Linked DNA regions of Rattus norvegicus. The main gene of each other region encodes a partner of the protein of the gene in region 3 in a complex. Links are inferred from orthologs where the notes say so. Each region holds a gene or a part of one and is shown on either strand. Other genes may lie near its edges. The genes, in order: Ksr2, Ksr1 and Map2k1.

Region 1 (4,249 bases), on a different chromosome or scaffold from region 3:
CTGACTGCTCTTCCAGAGGTTGTGAGTTCAACTCCCAGCAACCACATGGTGGCTCACAACCATCTGTGATGGGATTTGATGCCCTCTTCTGGTGTGTCTGAGGACAACGACAGTGTACTCACATACATGAAATAAATAAATCTTTAAAAAAAAAAGACACCTTGCATAGATAAATTAGAACCAGCTGCCCATTGCTTGTTTGTGTATTTGCACAGTGCTGGAATTGAACCCAGGTCCTCGTGCACATTTCAAATGTGCTCTACCACTGAGCTCCATCCCCAGCCACAGAGTGCCCCGGGCTGTGTCAATCACTGCTCTCCAGGGAGTCAGTGAACAGAGGATGGGACACCACAGAAAGAAACAGAAGGAAACTCTGGGCAACTTAGTCTGTAAAAGTCAGCCTAGTTTTTGGTGACAGGGTGTAGAAGAGACATGGTGGGAGTGGTGGCTCTCAGGGGTTATCTGTGTAAACTTTCCCAAGTATAGTTCTGAACCGAGTCTGTTCTGGGTCCTGTGCAGCAGAGATAGGGGCTGGGCTAACCACAGCCCGAAACTTCCAGCAGCAAACCTTAGCCAACCCTTTTCTTCCAGCAGCAACCGCTAGTCAAACACTCCTACTCCTCTCTCTCTCTCTCTCTCTCTCTCTCTCTCTCTCTCTCTCTCCCCCACCCCCTAAGAAAGGCAATGCCTAGGCCTCCCAACGCACATCCCACTTTAACATTTATCTTATTTCATCCCTGGGGTTCATGTTCCCACTTGACAGGTGAGCACAGACATATATCCAAGGGCAGTAAGCACCGTATTTAAATATCCACGCACACAAACTCCTCTTTCCAAACCATAGTCTCCTGCATACAGACACCAGGAGGGCCAAACTTAAAATCATCGAGGAGAAAAAAAAGGCCTGACAAATGAATACATCCAAGAGGTGTGTTCATGCAGATGACCTGGTCAGCCAAGACTGAAGAAAGACTTCAGGCTCAGGAACTCACAAGTCAAGCCAGAGGCCAACTGAACCATCCAGCTCCATGATGCACGGCCATGCCAATGGGAACCCTCCTTTGCTCTGAGCTCCACAGTCACCACTTTCTGGCAAAGGCCAGCTAGTGGGAATTCCCAAATTAAATCAAGCAATGTGGACAGCTGGACCTTCGAGGGAAGGAAGGTGAAGGGGCTGAATCGGTCTGACATTTTGAACGAGGTAGGTGCGGGAGGATTTCAGTACATCAGGCCGTTCACAAAACCCTGAAAGCATCCTCTGGGGGCAAAAAAGATGGCCTTTGAAGGAAAATAGCTCCTTCCATTTCTTTGTGGTAACTTTGTAGCATCCCTATCACAGTCTCTCAGTGAACTGCTCCCGACTCCCCTCAAGTTCTGTCTGAGAGAGAGAGAGGATGCTACAAGGAGCCAAATGTAACTCCTTCTCCTGGACCCCTATCCGCCAAGTCTCACCAAGACAGCCCAAGAGCATTTTCCCCACGCCACCTAGTGCAAGAACCACTCCAGGCAACTGTAACATTGTTTCTTTTTACACATTTTGGGCCTGCAAAGAGAACCCCCCCCCTTTACATCAAATGATTGTTTTAGAAATAGGTACTTCCTTGGGGATTTTTTCTAAGCGTAGGTTGGGGGAGGTGAGGTGGGGGATGAGACACAGAGCAAAAGGTTGAATCCATTCTGGCAGCCCCATCTAACCAGTCAAAACCACCTTTGACCACCTGCAGAACACACAAGGTCACGTGGGTTTCCTGCAGCTCCTTAACATAGCACCCAGCGCTCAAGCCCCCGTGGCATATAAACAAATCCCAGAGAGAGAGAGAGAGAGAGAGAGAGAGAGAGAGAGAGAGAGAGAGAGAGAGAGAGAGAGAGGAGAGAGAGAGAGAGAATATATAATAACAACAATAACAATAACTCCCTCCTCCCACAAGAAAAGAATAATCATGGCAACAATACGGCACACCAATTATTACTGCTACCCACCACCACCCGGCCGAGCACAGACAGCAGCCACACTGGGAAGCGAAGAGACATCGGCGCTGGCTTTGCCAGGTGATAAATCATAGCGCATCATTCGTGCCCACCTGCGTTACCCTCTCCCCTCCCCGGGCCCTCCGTCAGCACACAGAACCCCAAAGGGAAGGGGACAGACTGGAAAAGGGGAAGGGATGGAAGGCTTGCCCCCACCCCCCACCGCAGGCAACACCTACCTCCAGGGTCCTGATCTCCTTCTGCGTGAGGTCGTTGGAAGCTGCACACTTCGTCCTAAGCCCTTCTAGATTGGAGATGCTCAGGTCGATCATGTTTTGAACCAGCTCGCACTGCTGCAAGGCTTTTTGCAAACTCAGAGGTTGCTGGTCTTCGCTTTTCGTCATGTTCTCCTCATCCATAGCTTGCTCTGCAACCCCCCTTCCCCTCCTCCTCCTCCACCTCCTCCCAGAAAGAAAAAAGGGGGAGGGAAGGAGTGGAGGTAGAGGGAGTCCACCCCCCCTACGCCTCCCCAACCTCTGCGACTTCTCAGCAGTGTCTCCTGAAGAAACCCAACATCTCACACAAGCTTGAGGGGGTGGGGGTTGGAGGAGGGGACAAGAGCCAAAATTTATTATTATTTGGGGCGGGGGTAGAGTATCAGGCAGTCTGCATTAGAATGTCCCTTGTCTCTCTCCTCTCTCTTTCTCTGTGTCCCTGGTCCCTAAAAAGGGAGAGATGCCCGTTTGTCAGAAGCCAACCAGGTGGTAGGGTGCAGTCTGTACACTTAGAGAGGGGGAGGAGAAAGAGGAGGAGGGCGAGGAGGAGGAAGGGGAGGAGGAGAAGTGGAAGGAGGAGGAAGAGGGAAATAGAGCTCACGCTTCGCACACCGGCTCCGTGAAGGGCGGAATTATATGTATATAAATCTATTTGGTCGGCTGGCTTTTATGTCAAAAAGGAGCGCGCCTGCCCCCCTCCCGGTCGCGGTGACACGGCATGGTCCGCGGGTCCCCGCGCTCAGCGCGCTCTCGGGATGCTGTGCGCAAGGCTGGCGCGGCTGCGGTGCCCACTGCGGCTGGCTGCGGTCTGCTCCCCGCGACAATGCTGCTGCTGCTGCTGCTGCTGCTGCTGCTGCTGTTGCCGCCACCGGGCTCCAGGGGGGACGGCTGCTGCAATTGCTCCTGCCTCGCTCCACACCGACATCTTGCCTGTCAATCACAGGGCGGGGTGGGAAGCGGAGCGAGGGATGCAGCGCGGAGAGGCGCCGTGCGCGCAGCCGGTGCCCGGGTCTCCCCCACCCTGGGCGCGCCTGGGACCCGCTGGCGGCAGGCGGCTCGTGCACCTGCCCGCCGGGCCACCCTCCAGCCGGGGAGGCGGGGGTCCCTTGGGGCTGAGGGGCTTGCGTGCGGAGCGCAGCCGCTACGATGCTGTGGGGGCTGGGAGGGGGGCCGGTCTGGTCCCGGAGGTAGCGGGGAGGCCCGGCCCGGGGGCGGGGAGAGGTACTCGGTGGCCTGGGTGGGGGTGGGGGCCACTACGCCAGCCCGGATCTCGCGAGACGAGGCCCGAGCGCGACTCAGCAGGTGCGCGGGGACCCGGGAGCAGGTGCGCGCTCGCCTCGCTGTACTCTGTGCACCGTTCCTGGCTTTGCGGGTGGCTTCTTGTGGCTTTGGTGGGCTGGAGGGTGCGGGAAACCAACCTTGATGGCTTTCCCAGAATTGGGACGGGTGGGGACGACAACTACTTGGGCCTGATCTAGCTGAGGTCCATTCGCAGGATGACAGAGGCTTTGCCTTGCTCCCACAAGGGCTTGTGGAATCTAACTTCAACTACCGACCCTGACCTTTGTCAGTCACCTACGGTACCAGAGTAAAGAACGGCCAGTACATTTTAAAGAAGTTGAGGATTGGGGAGGATACTTTGTGACAAGAAAGGGGAATCATATATGAAATTTTAAAATTTCACTATGTAGTTAATAAAGTTGTACCGAGTGCCTCTGATATAGATACGCTTTTTATTAATTAATGGGGTGGGGGATTCACGTGCAGCACAGCGTGTGGGCGAAGTTAGCGCCCAGTTAGTGAAGACAATTCTCTCCTTCCACCCTGGGCTCCAGGAATTGAACTGAGCTGTCCGTACTCACTGAGCCATTTCTATAAATTAATAAAAGACACAGGCTTTCTTCTTAGCCGAATGGGATGGCTCACGCCTTTAATCCTAGCACTAGGGAGGCAGAGGCAGGTGGATCTTTAGGAGTTCGAGTCCAGCCTGCTGCTGGTCTATCGGT
Region 2 (3,620 bases), on a different chromosome or scaffold from region 3:
GGGTGTGATGAAGCTGTGCAGGGCCCGGGGGGTCAGCCGGCCACTGGTGTGCAAGGGGATACAGGTGTCCGAGAGGCCCTCGCTGAGGCCGGGGACTGGAGAGTCTGAGGCAGGCAGGGCAGACACAGAGATGGAACGGGGTCCCTGAGTGCTGGCACCCGCTCTGCCCAGCGAGGAGAGCATGTCCACTGAAGGCCCAGAGCTACTTTCTCGTGCTTCTGCTGAACTCCAACCAGAGTCCTCTTTGTGCTCCCCTCCTGTGGGCCAAGTAGTCAGTCAGAAATACAAAGGACTCAGGGGTGCCACTACTATGGGAAAGCACGACACCTTGATGGAGATAACAGCATTACTCAGCAGCAGGCTCTGCTCCCAGATTCACTTTCTCCCCCCAACAGCACCTTCTATGGCCTGATATTGAGAAGCACACCTGACCTTTAGTGACCCCTAGTTTACTTCTCCATTACAACAACCCTGTCAGAGGGGCAGTCTTATTGTACAGACGAGGAACTGAGGTACTGGGAGGTCAAGGGAAGCTGACTCCTCAGCTCATCCTGGCTCTCACCAGGCCCTGCTGGAGTGCAAGCAAGATGCTCTGACTGCTCTCAACCCTGGTGGCCAGTGAAGAAGTCATGTGGGATGACAGGAAGCCCACAACCTGTCACAGGGACACAGGAGCTGCATGGCCGAGTGACGAGAAAGGAAGCTGTGGAAATTCTCTTCCCTAGGGCTGTGCCTTGGCACGGTGGACCCCAGACACACCTAGAACCACAGATACTCAGACGCTATGAATAAAGAACGTAGGCTCTACCCTTTGGGGGATAAAATTAATTAGCTGGGCATGGTAGCACACAGAGGCAGGAGGATCTCTGAGTTTGAGGCCAGCCAGGTCTAGACAGGGAGTTCCAGGTCAATCAGCACGACACAGGGACCCTGTCTTATAAAAGAGACGAGTGTAAAGCTGGGTGCCCCCCTTTCAGCCCCAGGAGGCTGGAGATGAAGCAGCAGCTCTTTTAAGCGAGGCTCACATCAGTGCCCTCTCTGGGTGGTAGTCGGAACATTAAGCCAACTGTTTCCAAGGGAAGACATAAAGGGCCTATGAGTAATCCCAGGGGAGACTGCGGTAATGGCAGGATTATACACAGCCCGGGATAGCCCTATAAGAAGCAGCACGTTTTCTCTAACTATGCTGGGCTCGGGCCACACTGATACCAAGAGGCTTTGTGAGCAGAGCTGAAACTGCTCATGAGGACGGGAGATGGAATGCAGGAAGCCGGTGGCAGGGGCTGGAGCAACACAGACGCCTTCCAGTATGTGTCGGAGGCGTGGCATACAGGACCTGAACTGAAAGCAGACTGGGATTCCTAACAATGGCGGAGGCTTTTTAGGTCCGACTAGCTAGACCAATAGACTCCAAGGCCCTGGGGACTCTGAGAAGGCTTCCTAGGAGCCAAGGCCCAGCATACTTTCCAAACAGCCGCACCAAATCTAACCCCAAACCCTGAAGCACAACCTAGCTATCCCAAGGCCGGCTTTGGCAAAGTCCCATCTCCCAAAGGAACTGGCCAGGCCTGGGAGCACAGGCAGAAGTAGAGTCCTGGGGGAGAGCAGGCATTCCTTACCCAGACCAGTCACCTTCCGAAGGCAGGTGAGGGCTTGCTGTAGACGGCTGCACTCCTCAGCGCTGGCCCCCCATCGCCGCAGCATCTCCTTGGCTTTGGCCTCGTCCATCTCCAGCAGGGCATCCAGTGTGAGCTCTTGGGGGATCTCCTGGGGGTACAGAAGGGACAGGAAGAAAGCTGAGGGAGCAGTGAGGGAGTCTCAGCCCTCCGCTCCGAAGGACAGGCCTCCCAGCTGAGTGGCAGGAGCCAGCTGCTGTCTCGGACAGCCTCTGACTAGAAGCCACCACTTGTCAGGGGCAGAGCACTCACCCCCACCGTCAGTATGGCAGAAACAGCAGCTGAAGTGGAGTGCCACCTTCGGGTCAGAGATAAGGGGAAGAAGAAAAGTCCAGAAAGGCCTGGATGGGGCCTCACAGTCTGTTTATTTATTTATATTTTAAAATTTTTTGGTACAGGAAAGCTAGGAGTTTTGACACCTTTGGAAGCTCTTCTGGACATGACTGTATCTGAACCACACAAGAGACATCTCAAGCTTAATTGTTGTTAACAAGGACAACAACAACAACAACAAAAACAACAACACCAGTTACTGACTTGTTTGTAAGCCAGTCAATGTAGGCCAGCTAGACTGACCTGCTTATATCATCTACTTGGGAGGTGGAAGCAGGAGGATCCTAAGTTCAAAGCCTGCCTGGGTTAGAAAGCGAAGTCAAGGCCGGCTAAGGTGACTTAGTGAGACCTTGTCCCATAATGAAAAGGGAAGGCTGAGGCTGTAGGCCAGGCTGGCACAGTGTGCCCAGGATGCACAAAGCCCTAGGATCTAGCACTGCCTAAACCAGGCACGGTGGCTCTTGGGAAGTAGAGGCAGGAGGATGGCAAGTTCAAGGTCATCCTTGCCTACACAGTAAGTCTGGGGCCAGCTTAGGTTACATAAGACTGTCTAAAAAGGGGGTGGGAGCTAGGGAAGCAGGGCTGGATGTGTAGCTCAGTGGTAGAGAACTTGCAGGCCACTGGGATCATATTACATCTGGAGAATGAAGCTCAAAGGGCTACACGGCCGGACAAAGTGTTTTGCAGGAGGTGGGGGTGGGCATTAAGATGGAGTTTGCCTGCAAACCTGAAGACCTGAGTTCAATCCCCAGAACCCAGAACAAACCTGGGGACCTGAGTTCAATCTCCAGAACCCAGAAAAAGGTAGGAGAGAGCTTGATTCCACAATGATGTCCTCTGTCCCTGTACATATGCACTGTGGTGTGCACATGTGCACGCACTGTAAACATACACACATCAATAATAATAATAAAAATCTACGATTGGGCCAGCAACATGGCTTAGCAGGTAGGAGTAGCTTTGGGTCAGCAGCATGGCTTAGCAGGCAGGGTAATTCGAGGACAAACATGACAACGTGAGTTTCATTCTTGGATCCCCTAAGATTGCAGGACAGCATGGTCCTTTAATTTCTACGTGCACACAGAGATACACGTACACATGTGATCTCCTCAGGGGGTAAAGGGGAAAGTAGCTAGGGAAGACTTTTAAGACTTTTGTGTTAGGGGCTGGAGAGATGGCTCAGAGGTTAAGGACACTGTCTACTCTTCTAAAGGTCTTGAGTTCAATTCCCAGCAACCACATGGTGGGTCACAACCATCCGTAATGAGATCTGGTGCCTTATTCTGGTGTCTGCAGGCAGAATGCTGTATACATAATAAATCTTTTTTTTTTTTAAAGACTTTTGTGTTGTTTGGATGGAGAGATAGGGTCTTACCATGCAGACCAGGCTGGCCTTGAACTCACAAAGATCTACCTGCCTCTGACTCTCAAGTGCTGAGATTAAAGGCATGAGCCACCATGCCTGACCTTAGAAGAGATTTCTTTTTAATCCTAATTTTTGTTTTATGTGTATGGTATTCTGCCTTTTGTGTCTGTTTACTATGTATGAGCAGTGCCTGCAGGAGCCAGAAGAGGGCGCTGGATCTCCTGGAACCAGAGTTCTAGAACACT
Region 3 (3,620 bases):
GGGACAGCTGCCTGCAGTAATCAGGTGACAGTGGGACTCAGGAGAGTTGGGCTCTGGAGAAAAGACTACCAAGACAGGATGCTGGCTGAGCTAGAGTAGACTCTAAGCAGGAGCTGGATGCCAGGCAGGGAAATGATCCAGACACATTCATAAAGAAGGTGGAGAGAGGCAGAATGGAGGAAAGGATTTCAAACCTATTTTCTAAGTAGGTCCACTAGAGGATAAAAGAACTGGCAGTAGCCAGGTGGGGTGTGGTCATGTCCAAGTCTCTTGGGTTTAAGGGTCTGGCAATCAGATAAGATGTCAGGTGCATTCTCAAGTCTCTTTAGAATGGAAGCCAGACTCTGGAGCTAGATCTCTTGCAGTGCCTGAGACCTCAATTACATGTAAACACTTGTGAAAGGAAGACACTTGCTCTTCCCCAGAGGCCCACTGTGACTCATTTCTCAATCCTTATCCATCACCACAGTGAAAATGTATGGCTCCAGGTTCATAATATGGGGGTGCTAATAATGAAGCCTGCAGAAACACTGGAGAAAGGGAACTTCAGTTCATACCGACATGTAGGACCTTGTTCCCACGAAGGAGTTGGCCATGGAGTCAATTAGCTGCCCGCTGACCCCAAAATCGCAGAGTTTGATCTCCCCACGTGAGTTCACTAGAATGTTGGAAGGCTTGACATCTGTGAAGAAGAAAAAACAAGAAATGACAGCACAGAGTGGTTTGTGGAGGGGAAGGATCAGTGCTGTCTAGATCACACCACATGCGCCATCACAGGTGATCTGTGACCTGTAAACTCCAAAGGAAGTAGATAATGATGTCTACTCTCTTAGGACTCAGACCTGGCCATATGACTCATCAAAAGGAGTCAGCTATCATCACCAGTCAAAATGCCAAAGTCTGGAGCAGGGCACATTGGCTCTTGGGAGGCAAAGGCAGGTAGACCTTTGAGTTCAAGGCTAGCCTGGTCTACAGAGCTAGTTCCCAGGGATACACAGAGAAACCCAGTCTCTACACACAAAAAGAAGCAGAAAAAGGAGTAGGAGGAAGAGGAGGAAGAGGAGGAAGAGGAGTGGGAGTGGGAGGGGGAAGGGGGAGGAAGAGGAAGAGGAAGAAGAAGAGGAGGAGTGGGAAGGGGAAGGGGGAGGAGGAGGAGTGGGAGTGGGAGGGGGAAGGGGAGGAGGAGGAGTGGGAGTGGGAGGGGGAAGGGGGAGGAGGAGGAAGAAGAGGAAGAGGAGGAGTGGGAGTGAGAGGGGGAAGGGGAGGAGGAGAAGGAGGGAGAGGAGGAGGAGGAGTGGGAGTGAGAGGGGGAAGGGGGAGGAGGAGGAGGAGGAGTGGGAGTGGGAAGGGGGAGGAGGAGGAGTGGGAGTGAGAGGGGGAAGGAGGAGGAGGAGGAGGAGGAAGAAGAGGAGGAGGAGGAGGAGTGGGAGTGAGAGGGGGAAGGGGAGGAGGAGGAGGAGGAGGAGTGGGAGTGAGAGGGGAAGGGGGAGGAGGAAGAGGAAAAGGAGGAGGAAGAAGAGGAGGAGGAGTGGGAGTGGGAAGGGGGAGGAGGAGGAGTGGGAATGAGAGGGAGGAGGAAGAGGAGGAGGAGGAGGAGGAGGAGGAGGAGGAGGAGGAGGAGGAGGAGGAGGAGGAGGAGGAGGAGAATTCAAAGCTGTTACTTCAGGTACCCCTACTAGCAAGACACAGGGTAACTTCTGATAGGATTAAAAAGGAACGGAAGGCTGTAAGATCCTACTTCCTCAGCTTCCAGTACTAAGATCACAGGTGTCACCAAACCCAGCTAAAGTTATTTATTCTTTTTTTTTTTTTTTGGTTCTTTTTTTTTGGAGCTGGGGACCGAACCCAGGGCCTTGCGCTTCCTAGGTAAGCGCTCTACCACTAAGCTAAATCCCCAACCCTCAAAAAACTTTTAAAAAGAATAAATAACTTGGGGCTGGGGATTTAGCTCAGTGGCAAGGCCCTGGGTTCGATCCCCAGCTCCGAAAAAAAGAAAAGAAAAGAAGATTTTTGAGACAGTTTTCAAAATTACTTTATAGTTCTGTCCGGAACTCACTCTGTAGACCAGGCTGGCCTCAAACTCAGAGATCCACCTGATTCTACCTACCAAGTGCTGGGATTAAGGGCATGCATTAGCACTGCCTGGTTTAACTTGCTTATTCTTAAACAGATTCTAAAGATCTTCCCAAGGGTAAATTGGGGGTAGAGGGGCTGTGACAGCCCTACAATACTCCAGTTATCCCTTCCCTACCCTTATCTTCACACCAGCTCCAGCAAGGCAAGAAGAGCCCTCAGAGTCTGTCTTACCTTGGTGAACCCTGAGGAACACAAACCCCGATGATTGAACACATCTACACTCAGCACATAGTGTGACCATTCTGAAACCCAGCCTCACTATCACTCCCAAGCACTGGAGTTGGATCCAGGCCTAGCATTTCTATGGAGCTAGAAACCTCTCTACAACTCCACCTCCCACAGAGACCCTCCAAGATCATTCAGGCACTGGGAGAAATCTTAAATGAGTAAGATTCAAATTCACTTCCAAAACAGAGCTAAGTAAGGGTCCAGGGCTTATTCAAGGCCACAGGGCAAAAACTGCCCTCTATCTAGCATCCTACAACCACACTCCTCAGCAGTCTAAGCCTACTGGTTACTGAGCACCTGCCTCACACAGGTACCCTGCAATACCATGGAAAGGGCACCGGCATTCTGCCAAGTTCCCGTAACATCCAGTGCACATGATACTAACACCTACTGGTGTCAGGAGATAAATCAGCCAATGAGTGAGTGTGTAACACCAGGTAGTCTTTGGTACCCAGTCAGATAAGAGCAGGGTAAAAAAAAAAACACTATGCAGAAGTGTAAGGGCACACCTGCACGGTTCTCCATTGGAGAACGACTTTAACACTAGGTAGGTGGCGAGGGGCCAGCTACTCTTTCTCTAACAGCAGCTTACAAGAAAGAGGCCCTTGTCCTTGCCCTACAGTGTGCAGAACAGACCTTGGAGGTCACATGTTCAGGATATGGGAGCAACTTAGGAAGAGCCAAGGGTGTGATGTGCCTGTAGGGCTGGTACAGGCTCCCTAACATGAGCCTTCTCCCCATTGCCCCTCACCCATCCCAAATGTTTCCCATGGCCTTTCAGGTATGACCTGAAGCAAGAGAGGAGCACTAGCTGGAACCCTACCACCTATGCTCTATGTACTTTTTAGCAAGTCCTGGCTTCTCTGACCAGGGCAGCTCACATCAGAGTGTAGCCCTCACCTACATATATACTACACACACACACACACACACACACACACACACACACCATCCCCAGAGGTAGTTGCTGTGACCTCAGCCCAGAGCATCCCCTCCATGATGGCTGCATTCTCTGGCACGGCTGCTTCTCTCCCTCCAGGCTGCAGCTGCTGCTCTCTGAGGCTGAGCTGCCTCTAGCTGCTTTGCATCTGATTTCTATTCACATGGCAAGCAGGCATCTGCACTCAAGCTTACATAACCCTGCTCTCTCTTATATGGATCTGAACTCTAGCTTCAGCCTCCTAGACCCACCCATTTGCAGAGATTCCTGGGGCTGCAGAGGAGAAGCGTTACCCTTCAGGGCTTGAGAGCCAGAC

What was found.
Region 1: the proteins of Map2k1 (region 3) and Ksr2 are in contact, whole or in part, in a crystal structure (PDB 7UMB), measured with the Homo sapiens proteins. The link is inferred for Rattus norvegicus from reciprocal best matches to the Homo sapiens genes MAP2K1 and KSR2. Residues at the interface, in NP_002746.1 of Homo sapiens: Val81, Glu102, Met219, Ala220, Asn221, Ser222, Phe223, Val224, Gly225, Thr226, Arg227, Ser228, Met230, Arg234, Leu235, Gln236, Gly237, Met308, Ala309, Ile310, Phe311, Glu312, Leu314, Asp315, Val318, Asn319; in NP_775869.4 of Homo sapiens: Lys674, Arg818, Asp820, Lys821, Leu822, Arg823, Ile824, Gln825, Asn826, Ile837, Arg838, Gln839, Leu840, Ser841, Pro842, Gln877, Pro878, Ala879, Glu880, Ala881, Ile883, Trp884, Gln885, Gly887, Thr888, Met890.
Region 2: the proteins of Map2k1 (region 3) and Ksr1 are in contact, whole or in part, in a crystal structure (PDB 9AXH), measured with the Homo sapiens proteins. The link is inferred for Rattus norvegicus from reciprocal best matches to the Homo sapiens genes MAP2K1 and KSR1. Residues at the interface, in NP_002746.1 of Homo sapiens: Asp217, Ala220, Asn221, Ser222, Phe223, Val224, Gly225, Thr226, Arg227, Ser228, Met230, Arg234, Leu235, Gln236, Gly237, Met308, Ala309, Ile310, Phe311, Leu314, Asp315, Val318, Asn319; in XP_011523731.1 of Homo sapiens: Asn767, Gln768, Leu769, Lys770, Leu771, Ser772, His773, Leu776, Val784, Arg785, Met787, Thr788, Pro789, Asn823, Gln824, Ala825, Ala826, Glu827, Ala828, Ser829, Ile830, Trp831, Gln832, Gly834, Ser835.

The regions. Positions count from the first base shown.
Region 1 is NC_086030.1:44,845,723-44,849,971, forward strand, and holds the start of Ksr2 (kinase suppressor of Ras 2), read right to left. Parts: upstream 2,834-4,249; 5' UTR 2,388-2,833; coding exon 2,208-2,387; intron 1-2,207. UniProt on the Homo sapiens protein: Location-regulated scaffold connecting MEK to RAF. Has very low protein kinase activity and can phosphorylate MAP2K1 at several Ser and Thr residues with very low efficiency (in vitro).
Region 2 is NC_086028.1:64,491,506-64,495,125, forward strand, and holds part of Ksr1 (kinase suppressor of Ras 1), read right to left. Parts: intron 1,768-3,620; coding exon 1,620-1,767; intron 258-1,619; coding exon 1-257.
Region 3 is NC_086026.1:73,587,580-73,591,199, forward strand, and holds part of Map2k1 (dual specificity mitogen-activated protein kinase kinase 1), read right to left. Parts: intron 683-3,620; coding exon 558-682; intron 1-557. UniProt on the Homo sapiens protein: Dual specificity protein kinase which acts as an essential component of the MAP kinase signal transduction pathway.